Daphnia pulex: one gene and its partners. The protein of the gene in region 3 binds, or shares a complex with, the protein of the main gene of each other region. Links are inferred from orthologs where the notes say so. Each region holds a gene or a part of one and is shown on either strand. Other genes may lie near its edges.

What was found.
Region 1: the proteins of ubiquitin-conjugating enzyme E2 G2-like (region 3) and lipid droplet-regulating VLDL assembly factor AUP1-like are in contact, whole or in part, in a crystal structure (PDB 7LEW), measured with the Homo sapiens proteins. The link is inferred for Daphnia pulex from reciprocal best matches to the Homo sapiens genes UBE2G2 and AUP1. Residues at the interface, in NP_003334.2 of Homo sapiens: Tyr13, Thr17, Pro20, Gly23, Ile24, Val25, Ala26, Gly27, Pro28, Met29, Asn30, Glu31, Glu38, Leu40, Met42, Glu45, Glu50, Phe51, Val53, Pro55, Lys156, Val159, Gln160, Ser162, Leu163, Leu165; in NP_853553.1 of Homo sapiens: Ser379, Arg382, Gln383, Leu386, Arg389, Lys390, Leu393, Tyr394, Tyr396, Ala397, Arg398, Arg400, Phe401, Thr402.
Region 2: the proteins of ubiquitin-conjugating enzyme E2 G2-like (region 3) and E3 ubiquitin-protein ligase AMFR-like are in contact, whole or in part, in an NMR structure (PDB 2LXP), measured with the Homo sapiens proteins. The link is inferred for Daphnia pulex from reciprocal best matches to the Homo sapiens genes UBE2G2 and AMFR. Residues at the interface, in NP_003334.2 of Homo sapiens: Tyr13, Leu16, Thr17, Pro20, Gly23, Ile24, Val25, Ala26, Gly27, Pro28, Met29, Asn30, Glu31, Glu38, Leu40, Met42, Glu45, Glu50, Phe51, Val53, Val159, Gln160, Leu163, Gly164, Leu165; in NP_001135.3 of Homo sapiens: Ser574, Ala575, Arg578, Gln579, Met581, Leu582, Arg585, Lys586, Leu589, Leu590, Ala593, Arg594, Arg596, Phe597, Leu598, Lys600.

What each region holds. Positions count from the first base shown.
Region 1 is NC_060020.1:2,338,604-2,342,786, forward strand, and holds lipid droplet-regulating VLDL assembly factor AUP1-like, read left to right. Parts: upstream 1-1,328; 5' UTR 1,329-1,559; coding exon 1,560-1,600; intron 1,601-2,011; coding exon 2,012-2,149; intron 2,150-2,218; coding exon 2,219-2,605; intron 2,606-2,670; coding exon 2,671-2,791; intron 2,792-2,853; coding exon 2,854-2,995; intron 2,996-3,063; coding exon 3,064-3,368; 3' UTR 3,369-3,882; downstream 3,883-4,183. UniProt on the Homo sapiens protein: Plays a role in the translocation of terminally misfolded proteins from the endoplasmic reticulum lumen to the cytoplasm and their degradation by the proteasome. Plays a role in lipid droplet formation. Induces lipid droplet clustering.
Region 2 is NC_060017.1:3,098,034-3,102,297, forward strand, and holds E3 ubiquitin-protein ligase AMFR-like, read right to left. Parts: upstream 2,861-4,264; 5' UTR 2,588-2,860; coding exon 2,318-2,587; intron 2,243-2,317; coding exon 1,985-2,242; intron 1,909-1,984; coding exon 1,662-1,908; intron 1,591-1,661; coding exon 1,517-1,590; intron 1,448-1,516; coding exon 1,304-1,447; intron 1,210-1,303; coding exon 1,086-1,209; intron 1,031-1,085; coding exon 813-1,030; intron 746-812; coding exon 407-745; 3' UTR 379-406; downstream 1-378. UniProt on the Homo sapiens protein: E3 ubiquitin-protein ligase that mediates the polyubiquitination of lysine and cysteine residues on target proteins, such as CD3D, CYP3A4, CFTR, INSIG1, SOAT2/ACAT2 and APOB for proteasomal degradation.
Region 3 is NC_060021.1:11,411,923-11,414,884, forward strand, and holds ubiquitin-conjugating enzyme E2 G2-like, read right to left. Parts: upstream 1,499-2,962; 5' UTR 1,390-1,498; coding exon 1,347-1,389; intron 1,223-1,346; coding exon 1,141-1,222; intron 1,063-1,140; coding exon 944-1,062; intron 880-943; coding exon 739-879; intron 687-738; coding exon 568-686; 3' UTR 535-567; downstream 1-534. Other genes in the region: uncharacterized protein LOC124194765, read left to right, coding at 1-114, 177-318. UniProt on the Homo sapiens protein: Accepts ubiquitin from the E1 complex and catalyzes its covalent attachment to other proteins. In vitro catalyzes 'Lys-48'-linked polyubiquitination. Involved in endoplasmic reticulum-associated degradation (ERAD).

The DNA of each region.
Region 1 (4,183 bases), on a different chromosome or scaffold from region 3:
ACCAAATAACAGGAGAAACAGATGAATTCCTCATGTGAGTAAAGTATCCGCCCCACAGTGTGTGTTCAAACCCAATGGAATTCAATTAACTCACTAATGTTGGGAATTTTTTCTCGGCACGTTTGGGCTCTCAAAGCGTACGTGCGTGTAATGGGAACCAAAATACTGAGCAAATAATTGAAACCGTTTCAGTCCGGTTCTTCTTCATTTATTTTTGTTGTTGGGGTCGCCGAAAATAAATCGTCACACATGTGTGTAGTACACATACTTTCGCATGCGATATCGATCACTTGCTTTATGAAATAAACATTTTTTTTTAATTACATTTCATCTGATCACATATTTCGAGAGCATTGCGGCGAATCAATTTTAAATTACATTTCTCTCGCGCGCTTTTTATCCGCCGTTTTCCCACGGTGATGTTTTGTTTCGTGTTTTTTCACTCCGTCTCGGATCAATATCGAAGGAGACTGGAATACACAAAGATGTGTATACCGCCCTCTGTTCTTTTAAAACGATATCTCTTTTATATTTTTATACTTGTCGTAAACTATAGTTGGACTCTCAGGTGAATCAGCCTTCGTTGCAAACGCCCCACTTACCATTTAAACGACCAGAGTACCTATTTTTTCCAATTCTTTTTATTGTATATTAGTTTATTTCTTCTACTGCCGAATCGATATGTTTCTCGGTCAAAGTTTACGACTTTTACGAAAGTAGTTTGAGGGGGGGGGGGGGGCAATGTCGACAATTGCTGGATGAATATTACTTGTAAATGCTGCTACTTCGGTAGCGGAACGAATGCGCCGGTAGGCCATTTTCTTTAGAAAACCATAGCGGCTCTTCTTCTATTTTCAACAACAAAAAGGAAACTTACCTTTTCTATTATAAAATCGGCAATATTATTGGACCCTCGGTCTGAGGTGCGCACTTGCCCAAAAGGGACGCCGAACGTTTCGTTACGGATCGTTCCCAATTTTAACTTTTTTTTTTTGCCAATGTCCAATATCTTTTAGTATACTGTCACTACTGTAAATACGTCGCGGAATAATAATACGGGCGCCAGTCCGCATCTTCCATGGGATTTTCTTATATTACTTCATGCTGAACGGATGCTGGTAATTAGCTTATACTGTTCCGCATGCAGGTTGTTTTTTTAGTTTTGCTTTATTCCATGTTATCCCCGGTGTCTTTAGAAAGCGCTGTGGCCTTCGTATCGTTTAATTTCGGGTACCGAAAAAGCTGTTGAAATTGTCAATTGTGTAGCAAATTAATGAGGCCAGACAATTAAAGGACGATGGTCGGGTCTTTTTTAAAATTTGAAACACGTAGTACGGTAGTAGACATGCTGCTGTCTTAAAGAATCGTGGCAAGATACAACTATATTTAAGTTATGATATAATCCGTTCTTTACTTCTTATTAGCGTGATAACAGAGCTTTCTTTTTGGACAAATGGACTGGTCAATATTGACTCGATTCTGACGTCATCAACAAATCGACTGGTTGCTGTTTAGTAGTTCCGACGTATTTGCAGGGGTCTGTTTACGTGTCGATAGTAATGGCTTCTCCTAATTTAGAAGAGTTATTTGAGGATTCAAGGTAAAGTTTCCTCGAATTTTCGTATGACATTCATCCAATTTTCAAACCTCTTTCAGTCTGTTACAAATTTTAAACAGCAGCTTCAATTTTGTAGCTAAGGTCTGACATGAAACTATCGTTCCAAGTAGGTTTTTCGCTATGCAATATGCTACAGGATCTTGCAGATCGATCTAAACATTGAATTTCCGAGATTATCAAGTCCTACTCAGACCTTTTAGTCAGCATAAATTGTCATTGTGTCCATTACAGATTCTTAATAGAAATATGCCCATACAGCAGCAGATGTTATGATTTGCTTGCCTTGGGGCTGTGTGGGATCACGTTCTCTTCCCTTAACAACTTTGTGTTATTACTGTGGTGCTAGATGTGTAATGCGTTATTTTATAATTCTTATTGTTTATTTTTGTCCAGGATCACACAATGGGATTGGACATTGCTGTTGTTGGTATTTTACACCCCTCTAGGGCTGTTGTTGCTAGTAATGAGAATATTTGCTCTCATTCAATTCTATCTCATGTTTCTGTACATGCCATACCAACCTATCAAAAGGTAACAGTCTATACCTCATTTAAAAATAAATATGGCAAACTATCATGACGTTTGACTCCACATGTTCAGGTACTTGTTGAGGGTGTGTGGATTCATGCTGGGCGTCTTTGTGAATGAGAAATACTCAAACAAGGCAGTTGTTCAAGAAAATGCTGTCTGGGTCGCAAATCACTGCAGCCCCTTTGATTCAATTGTGCTTCAAGTTATTGCGGATAAGAAAGGAGTCATCACCACCTTTCCAGAGGAAGAAACAACAACAGCCAAATCAGGACTTCTCAAATTTCAGCTCGGAAGCTTTGAACAACACAAACGAAACAACCCGAGCCTTCCGGTTCAGCCGCTCTCTTTGAGGATTTCACGTCCTTTCCCGTCTTTTGCCATCACAGTTCTTGACAGCCAGTCCTGGACGGATGTGTTCTTCCTCCTTTTCAGCCCCTGCACAATTTTCAACATTAAGTAACGCTAAATTTAACTTTGTTGACTCAAGTATCCAGCGATCCTAATGGCGGTTTTTATTTTAGATTTCTGGAACCGACTCAATGCCGTGAAGATGAAGAACTCGAAGCTTACGTCAATCGGATAGAATCGACTGTCAGCCAAGACCTCGGCGTTACCGTTACATCTTTCACAGCCAAAGACAAGGTGAAGACGTTGCTCTTTATAACTTTGGTCATTCGTTTATAGTAATAAAATGATTTCTCTAGGCTGAACTAATCAAAAGAAAACGATTTGAAGCTCAACCTCCTCGCCCTGTTCAACGACCCAACAATCGATGGCAAGTGATGGCCAGTCAGGTCAAAGAAGTGCTGCCACATGTACCGATGGCTGTCATTTTGAGCGATCTAAGTAAAATAACTAGTTTTTTATTGAATCAAATCACACATTAACGTTTCTATTTTTATTTTCGTACGTAGGTCGCACTAATAGTGTGGATGCCACGGTGGCAAATTTAGTGGAAGGTGTTGTCCCTTTCATTCCCGAGCCTGTCGTGACGAGGGTAGAGAGTGCTCCGTCGGGGCCGTCGTCACAAGCTGGCCCTTCCAACTTTAAACCGTTGGGTGCTTCGTCGCAGTTGCAACAAGTTGCTGCGTCTTCTTTCAGCAAATTGGTTCACGAGCGTGGCCTGTCATTGCAGGAACGAAAACAGCGCTTAATGCGCCAAGCCCAGCTGCGTTACTGTGAACGGCATGGCCTTCAAATATCGGGAATAAATTGCTGAAAATGTCAAACAAAAAAACAACAACAATAACACGCTGTAAAAGATTACAATGCTTCACTTCTCTCCCACCCCCTTCCCGAGATATCTTTCGTTTAGTTTTTTTTTTTTATTTTTTTTTTTTTTGCTTTGTTTTAGACGGTTTCTCTTTCTTTTTTCTTATTCCCTCCAACCTGTATTGTGTTTATTTGTCCAGCGGGATTCAAAAATCATCGTATCTCTTGTACTACCGTCTAAATATTTGAACAACTCACCTATTGAACGCAACCGTCGACACAACCATCTGTACATACATATAGATTTGGATAGATTCAAATAGCTTTTTGGAATTTAGAAATTCAGTCGCGTTTTTCGGTTCGTCAAAATACACACACATCTTATTTGGTGGGAAAAAAACATTGAAAAAGACTCGGTTCTCAAGATAGATCTCGTTAAAAGCCCTTGTCGGATCGTTAGCTCAGCCTTTTGTTTTTTCTCTTTATTCTTCTGTTAAAATAAAAAGAAACGAAACCTTAAAGTTGGAAGTGTGCTAAATGGAGGTCAACGGGAGAGAAAGAAATCGTCTAGACATTTTAGAGCACCTGCCGAGATTGAATAATAGATAATTGCAAGGGGAAAAGAAAGGAGCCATTAAAAGAATCGGTCTGCTTTACAATTTGAAAAAACTTCGGAGCAAAAAAGAGCTTTTACTTAAATTGTCATTTACTTGCGTTGTCCCGAATGGCTGTTCATGATTTTAATTTAATAATAATAAAAAAAAAAACAATTGGAATTTTAAATTTACCGAAACACGGTGTGCGAACGCGTTTTCCGAAAAA
Region 2 (4,264 bases), on a different chromosome or scaffold from region 3:
AATCACCTATTCTTGTTCAAGATATTAAGGGAAAGATTTATTAATCTCAGAAGAAAAAAAATGTCACACATTTCCGATTTCGTCCTCTACATGTTTGGTAATCAAATGTTACTATTGATTGCGCATTCACTTCGTCGGTAGTGAATCAGTAAAATCACGTTTGTAGGCCCTGTTTGACAGTGAACGTCTGTGTGATGGGACTAGCTTGCGGCATAGAGAGGGTTTTCTTCCACGCCCAGTCGAGCGAAGCGGTATTTCGTAATTATTAAAAAGGCACTATCTTTCTACTCATAATTTACCTTGCCAATATACAAACAGGTTTTTTGAATTATGAGATGCACTAATGCATAATTTACGCACTTTAGGATCAATAACAAATTAGAATCACACGTGTATAGCAAGAAAATCAACTTTCAATGATAGTGGAATTGTTTTCGAGTGCTTGTCTCTGAAGAAAGCGATTTCGAGCTTCCGCGATTAATTCATGCTTACGACATTGAAGAATGTGTTGTCTTTCTTGCGGATCATCAACAAAGAGCTTCTCTGGTTCCTGGGAAACATCAAATTGGTTTTCTTGCCTGGCGAATGTTGGCAACGTAGATAGACTAGGCTCTTGTTGAAAGCTGGGAAGTGTGGGCAGAAGACGACCCTCTAATATATTCTCAACTGTTAAGTCTACTGAGCGAGTTTGCCGTAGATCTTCAACGATAACAGAAAACGAATAATCGGGAAACAATTGAAGTACCTACAACGATAAACATTTAAATTGTTGAACAAGAATTAGTAGAATTTTATGATAGATTTCGTCACACCTGATCAGCTAAAGCTTCCAATTGAGAGTTTTCTGCAGCTGCTACTACCGGAGTATCAGTGTTTTGTTGAAACAGTCGACTCCAGCCCGTCCACGATATAAAACTTGCAGTTTCCCGGGGACGTGAAGACGAAGCAGTTTCTTTCGATCCATCTTCTAAAAGTTGGCGTCGACACGTAGGGCACGTAGGATCCTGTTCCAACCAGTGCAACAGACAACCTATACAAGTATAGATAGATGAAGGATTGCCTCATTAATTGTTATGAATCAATACCATGATGAAAATGATGACCACACGGCAACCGTCTGGCTACAGCTGCTGCTTCCCAGCAAATGGCACATTTGTTATCCTCCCATTCAGATTCGAGTTCGAAATGGAGTGTTTCCAAGGGACAGCACTATTATAACAGAATAAATTACTAAATGATTAAAACTAGAGACTTGGCAGAAGAAGGGGAGATTAAGATATTTTAGATCGACTCGAGTACAAACCAATTCCACCAATTTCAGCAACCGTTTGTAGTTCCCGTGTCGCCGGAGACGTCCACACAGCTGTTCGTAGAGCACTCGCAGTTGCATGAAAATGACCAAAGATGCCATAGAGAGCAGCATATTCGCTCGCAGAAGCATGTGAATCTAAACGAAAAGAGACAAAAAAGGGGTTACCGAAATTCAGTCGCATTGCAGAAAGCAATTTCGTCTCACATGATGTGCCAAATCCACAACGAGGCATGAAATCTCCACCGCCAATTCCACGTAGTACGACGAAGGACTCCACCCTATGATCCAACAATCGTCAGATGTTTGAGCACATCGAGAGTCTCTGTTGCGAATGCGCAACTCAAGTAACCTTGAGAGATCTGATGGATGGGCGGATGACAAGACTGCAGGTAGAGGATGTATCTAAAGATAACGTGGGTGGTACGTAAAGCCAAGAGAAGACATTCCGGGGCGACCAAGGCAAATGTAATCCATCCAGCGCGTTGTCCAACGGCGAGGCAAATCAAAAATAATAATCCCGATGCCACCAGAATCGATCCCAGCAGGGTAAGCAAGCGGATGTGTCGATTTCGAGGGGTACATGGAGTCATAGATAACTATAATTTCGCCAAACATAAGATAAATTACAATACCTGTTTGAGCTTTTAAAAAAGAAAGATAAAATCCAATTACATATTCAAATCTGTCTTGGCAAAGTTGAGCATGAATGTGTAGAAAGCCAATAACAGAAAACCAGGACCCCCATAATATAACACCTTCCATACTTTGAACATTTTTAATGCCAAATATAAAAATAAATTTGTAAAACACAAAATTCCAAAACTTGTCTTTGATGTGCTGTAGTTCAGAAACTCTTAGTTCCCCAAACACCTGCTTCTGCAGCCAATTTCCAAATAATACAAGGAGGCAGTAAGCCATGTTCACAACAATCTGTAAAGGATAGAAGATAAAAAAGGATTAAAGTGTTGGATATTGACTAATAATATAGGATGGCCATGTTCTAACCCAAATGCAGAGACTGTCATGGATAGAAAATGACACAATATCTTGAGCTCTGGAGCTGAGCCAGTAACGAGACAGGATGTTTGAAATAAATGCTTGCAAGGAGTTGGGAATCTCTTGGCTGCTATTCGTTTTAACAAATTGCATCCTCCATTCAGGGTTTTGTGTTTTTTCTGCAGCGTAGTGAAGAGACAAACCCAAAAGAGAAACACTGACTACCGCGTAAGCTTCCAAACTCGGGAGAGGTAGTCTCTCAAGTAGTAAGACAGGCATGTTGTTGTTGTTGACACAGAAAAATTGGGTTCACAAGACGACAAAACTACTAACAAATCTGGGGTGAAAATTGCATTTGAAAACATCAGCAGAAATAACTAGGATTAGCTAGCACAGCAATTCAAGGCAATTTCATCTTGATAACACTGCGTTATCTAACGACCATTTCGATAACAAGTGCCTTGTCAAATGATTCAATAATCCGAAAATGTGTCAAAACTCTGATAAGGCGGGTAAGGCTAAACAGCATCTAGTACACGTAAACACTGCAAACGGAATGAAAAAAAATTACTGACGTTTTGGGCGTCAACCTCAAAAAGTTCCAGCAAACTATTTTCTAGCAAGGTCAAAAATATGCAAAAATTACAAGGCAGATTTCGTCTCGCTATCCCCAGGGGAAAAAATGTATTCAATGTCAACTTTGCATACATGTTCTCAAATGTAGATGTAGACTGAATTGCGCTCTCGGAGACTCGGACAGTCAAGCTAATAAATATTCAATTATTCATTACGCATGTGATGCTGGGACTGGGCTGAATCTGTTTTTAGATCGACGAATACTGGTTTGTTATTAAAAATGAAAAAGATACGTCACAAGTCTGAGTAGATTTTATTGTTTTTACTCAGAAACAACTTCAATAAGATCCCTTAATAATTTTCTGAGATATATTCGCTAAATATTCCGCAACATTCTCCCGCACCAAAAATGCTCAGTTTTATGGCACTGCCCTAAGACACGCATAAGAGTACTCAATTACGCTAATCTAAATTGCACTCCCGAATCAACCTTGAAAAGAAAATGTATTCACTATTATTATTTCTGCTTTGATGGCAACGCGTGATGGAAGACAGAAAAAAGGGAGAAACATCAGAAATAAAACGTTGTCTAGCTGCATGTCTAGCCGATTTTATCGTCTTGTTGGGCGGTTATGAAAAAAGTAGCGTGTCATTTCGTACCAGATGGGGACCGGAAGAAGGTGTCCTTGCACACACACGGCACTGTTATAACGCCTGATTTGCGTCCTCAACATTCGTTACAATAGGGCGTCAGCTCTGCAAAGTAACTGAACCGTTAAATTCTGTAAATGTTCACATTCGAGACAATTTGAATCCACTACATACCAAAGTCTTATCGCGTACCTCCTGATGGTCACGACAGGTCAAGGTTTCCATTTGAAATTTGCGCCCTGTTTCGCTTTTATCCGATGTAGTGGTAATCCTTCAATATAAATAAATGAAGCAACAATAACTTTGCGAAAACAAGGGATGGCTAAGTAATTGAAGTGACTTTTGAAGTTCATTTCATTTTCTCTTTCTCTGCACTTTAAAGAGAATCTTTTTTTTTTTTTCATTTTGGCTCTATTCCAATTTCTTATACTGTAGCGTTTTACAACACGCATTTCACAAGCAGTTAACATTTATGTTTATCATGTTAGTGTTAAGTTGTTATTTGCGAGGTTATTTGGTTGAGCCAAATTTGGATTATTGGAATTCAACAAGATATGTTTGCGGAAAACGCCGCTATACAGCTCCCAGCATTAAATGGGTAATATAGCTTCAAAGCCGAATTCTGGCTATCATTCCAATTATTTTTCAGACGAATTAAGACCTATTCTTCGTAGACGACCTTCCAACCTGTCAAGTAAAGAAATATGGAATTCTTTTCTTTTGATTAAA
Region 3 (2,962 bases):
TGGTCGGTTTCTTTTTTTCCTTCATCGAAGGCCAACACACGGACCTACTCGTGTTCAGCTGTTGCACCCAGTATCACGATTCCGCCAAGTTCAAAGCTTGCAACACTTGTCCAGGTACATTTTTCAAATAAACTACATGGTTTAATTTGATTTAATTCACACATTAATTATCTTAGATTTGTTATTTTGAAGTTGATCAGGCGAGATCAAATCAGTATGTTGCCACTTCCCAAACGGTTGCGAGACTATTTAAATACAACTCACTACTACTCAGAGCAACTAGAAGGTTCTCTGCAACATTCCCACTTTGCCCCCTAGAATGGTGTCATTTCTAGTCATTGAAAAAGTATTTCTAATTTAATTTACAAATTCTCTCCGATTGGACAGATACATTTGCCAATGTGCATCTATAGAGTTTAATATAACCTTTCAATATATAGATAATATACAGTGTGTTTTCCCGACATAACACAAAACTGTCAAATACAATTAATGTCGAAGACGAGTTTTTATATTTTTTAAAAGGACAACCGCTTTCATAATTTTTCTTTTATTATATTGTACATATTACAAGGGAATATTCAATGATTTCCGAACGATTCGAGTTGCAATGCGATCAAATTCAGCTCGGTTTTCTCGCCACATTTTTGCAGCATCAATGTTTGCTCCACTCTCATCATTAGGTTCTGTAATAAAGAGGTTAATTAAGGGCGATTGTTTACCAATTTAAATACGGACCTGCCAACATGCTGATGACTGAAAGTAGAATCTTTTCCACACTCTGAACAGGACTCCATCGTTCAGCACTAGATTCATATCCTAAGGGATCATCACCTGGAGCATGTAAAATGGAAATGCAAACCCTTCCATCTGAATAGACTGGTAAATCAACTTGAGTATTAACAAGTGTTTTTATATTTAACTAAGTTTTTATTTAAATTACTGTTAGGATGAAACATTTCACAAGTAAACTGCATCTTTGGTGGGCTTAATGGATAATCAGTTGGAAATGTTAATTTTGCTGGAAAAACACCACCCTCAAAACATGTTCCGTCAGGTCCCCTATGGATTGTAAAAACCACCAATGTATTTAAAAAGTGAGACAAGATCATGCACAGAAAATGAATCAAAATATTTTACACAATGAGGCATTCCCAGTCAAAAAAATTCTCTTCGTTGATAGGACCAGCTACAATACCTTCAGGTGGATTCAAGGTAAGTTCTAAAAAAAGTCATACATTATCAAATAACTGCTAAGGGTTACTTAAATATGCATTACTTAAATTTGTAAAATATACAGGAATACCTAATAAGTTATAAAAATAACAAAAAATAACAATTCTCACGTTTGTACTCGGCCATTAAACGTCGAAGAGCAGACCCAGCCATTGTAACTACAGAATATAACACTTAATAAAATTAAACTGAAATCTAAACTTGATAAATGATGTCACACTGTCACAGGTATGATCAAACGTAAACTTGGAATCTGTTAATTTTGGTCTTTTTTCGTCTGCATATTACTTTGTAGAAAAGGTTGAGTTGAAGACCGCTAGAGCATGCTAGTCAAGAGGCAAATCGGTTGACAGGGGTCTGCAGACGGGCCGGCCAGTTTGCATGTTCTTCACGCTTGAAGGTCACGGTGAACATTACGTGTAAAACTGTCAGTGCGGTGGAGGTTGGGTGAGAAAGGTACGTGTTTCATCATTATCAAGCAGGTATAATAGCCGCAAGGCTCAGCCATTTGGTATTCATTTTGATATTTGTTGTTGTAGACCCATCCCCAGCAACGCCAACCTAAAGAAGGAAAGACCAGTTTGCATTTCCTTCACATTCGAAGGTCACGGAGATCATTACGTGAAACGTGTCATGCAGTGGTGTAGAGGTTGGGTAAGAACGGGACGTGTTTCATCATTATCAAACAGGTAAAATAGCTGCAAGCCATAACCATTTGGTATTCATTTTGATATTGGTTTTTGTCGACCCACCCCCCAGCAACTTCAAACTGCAGAAGGAAAGGCCAGTTTGACGCTCGAAGGTCACGGAGATCATTACGTAGAACGTATCATGCGACGGCGGAGAGGTTGGGTGAGAAAGGTACGTGTTTCATCATTATCGAACAGGTACAATACCCGCAAGGCTTAAGAGGTGAGGGTGATCAAAAAATCGTATAAAAAGGAGACGAAAAAGGCCAGAGACATCAGTCGAGTGAGGATCTCCGACACGGCAACAACTGCTGTGCGCTATCTGTCACCATCTGCCTTCTTCACCCATGGGTAAATATTCTGTCTCTACATAAAGTTTTTTATTAATGCCAATTATTTTCTGTTTGTTAAAATGCAAATTATTATTGATTAATAATGTTTGAAATTGTTTAATGTCTAGATAATAAGGCTGTTGGATGTTGTATCGTTGATTGGTGGGTCGACCACTGGTGTATTGATGTCTCCTGGGTATGGCGGATACCAAACCGCAACGCCACCGCTTTACTACCCAAAAGCAACTTACGCAACGACCAGTTCCTGCACCGAGGTCTACAAGTACTACACCCCTAAGGCACCGAAGTTTTATACCACAACTTACGCTGCCCCGATTTACTACACTGACGCCCTGAAGTATTACTCTGCCCCGAGTTACTACACCACCAAGGCGACGGAGCAGGACTACGCATGCTACCCCATTCTACTACACCGAGGCTTCCAAGTATTACTCTGTTCTCAGCTACTTATTGCACCTATATTAAGTATATTAAGTACTACTCTGTTCCCAGCTGCTACACCGAGGCTCCCGCTGATCTCCACCAAGACGGTCGAATACTACACCGAAGCGGCAAAGTACTACTCTGCCCCGATCTACACAACCACAACCGAGGCGGCCAAGTATTACGCAGTTCCGACTTGCTACACCGAAGCTGCTCTTTAGTGCTACGTTGAACAGATACTACACTGATGCTCCAGTTAAC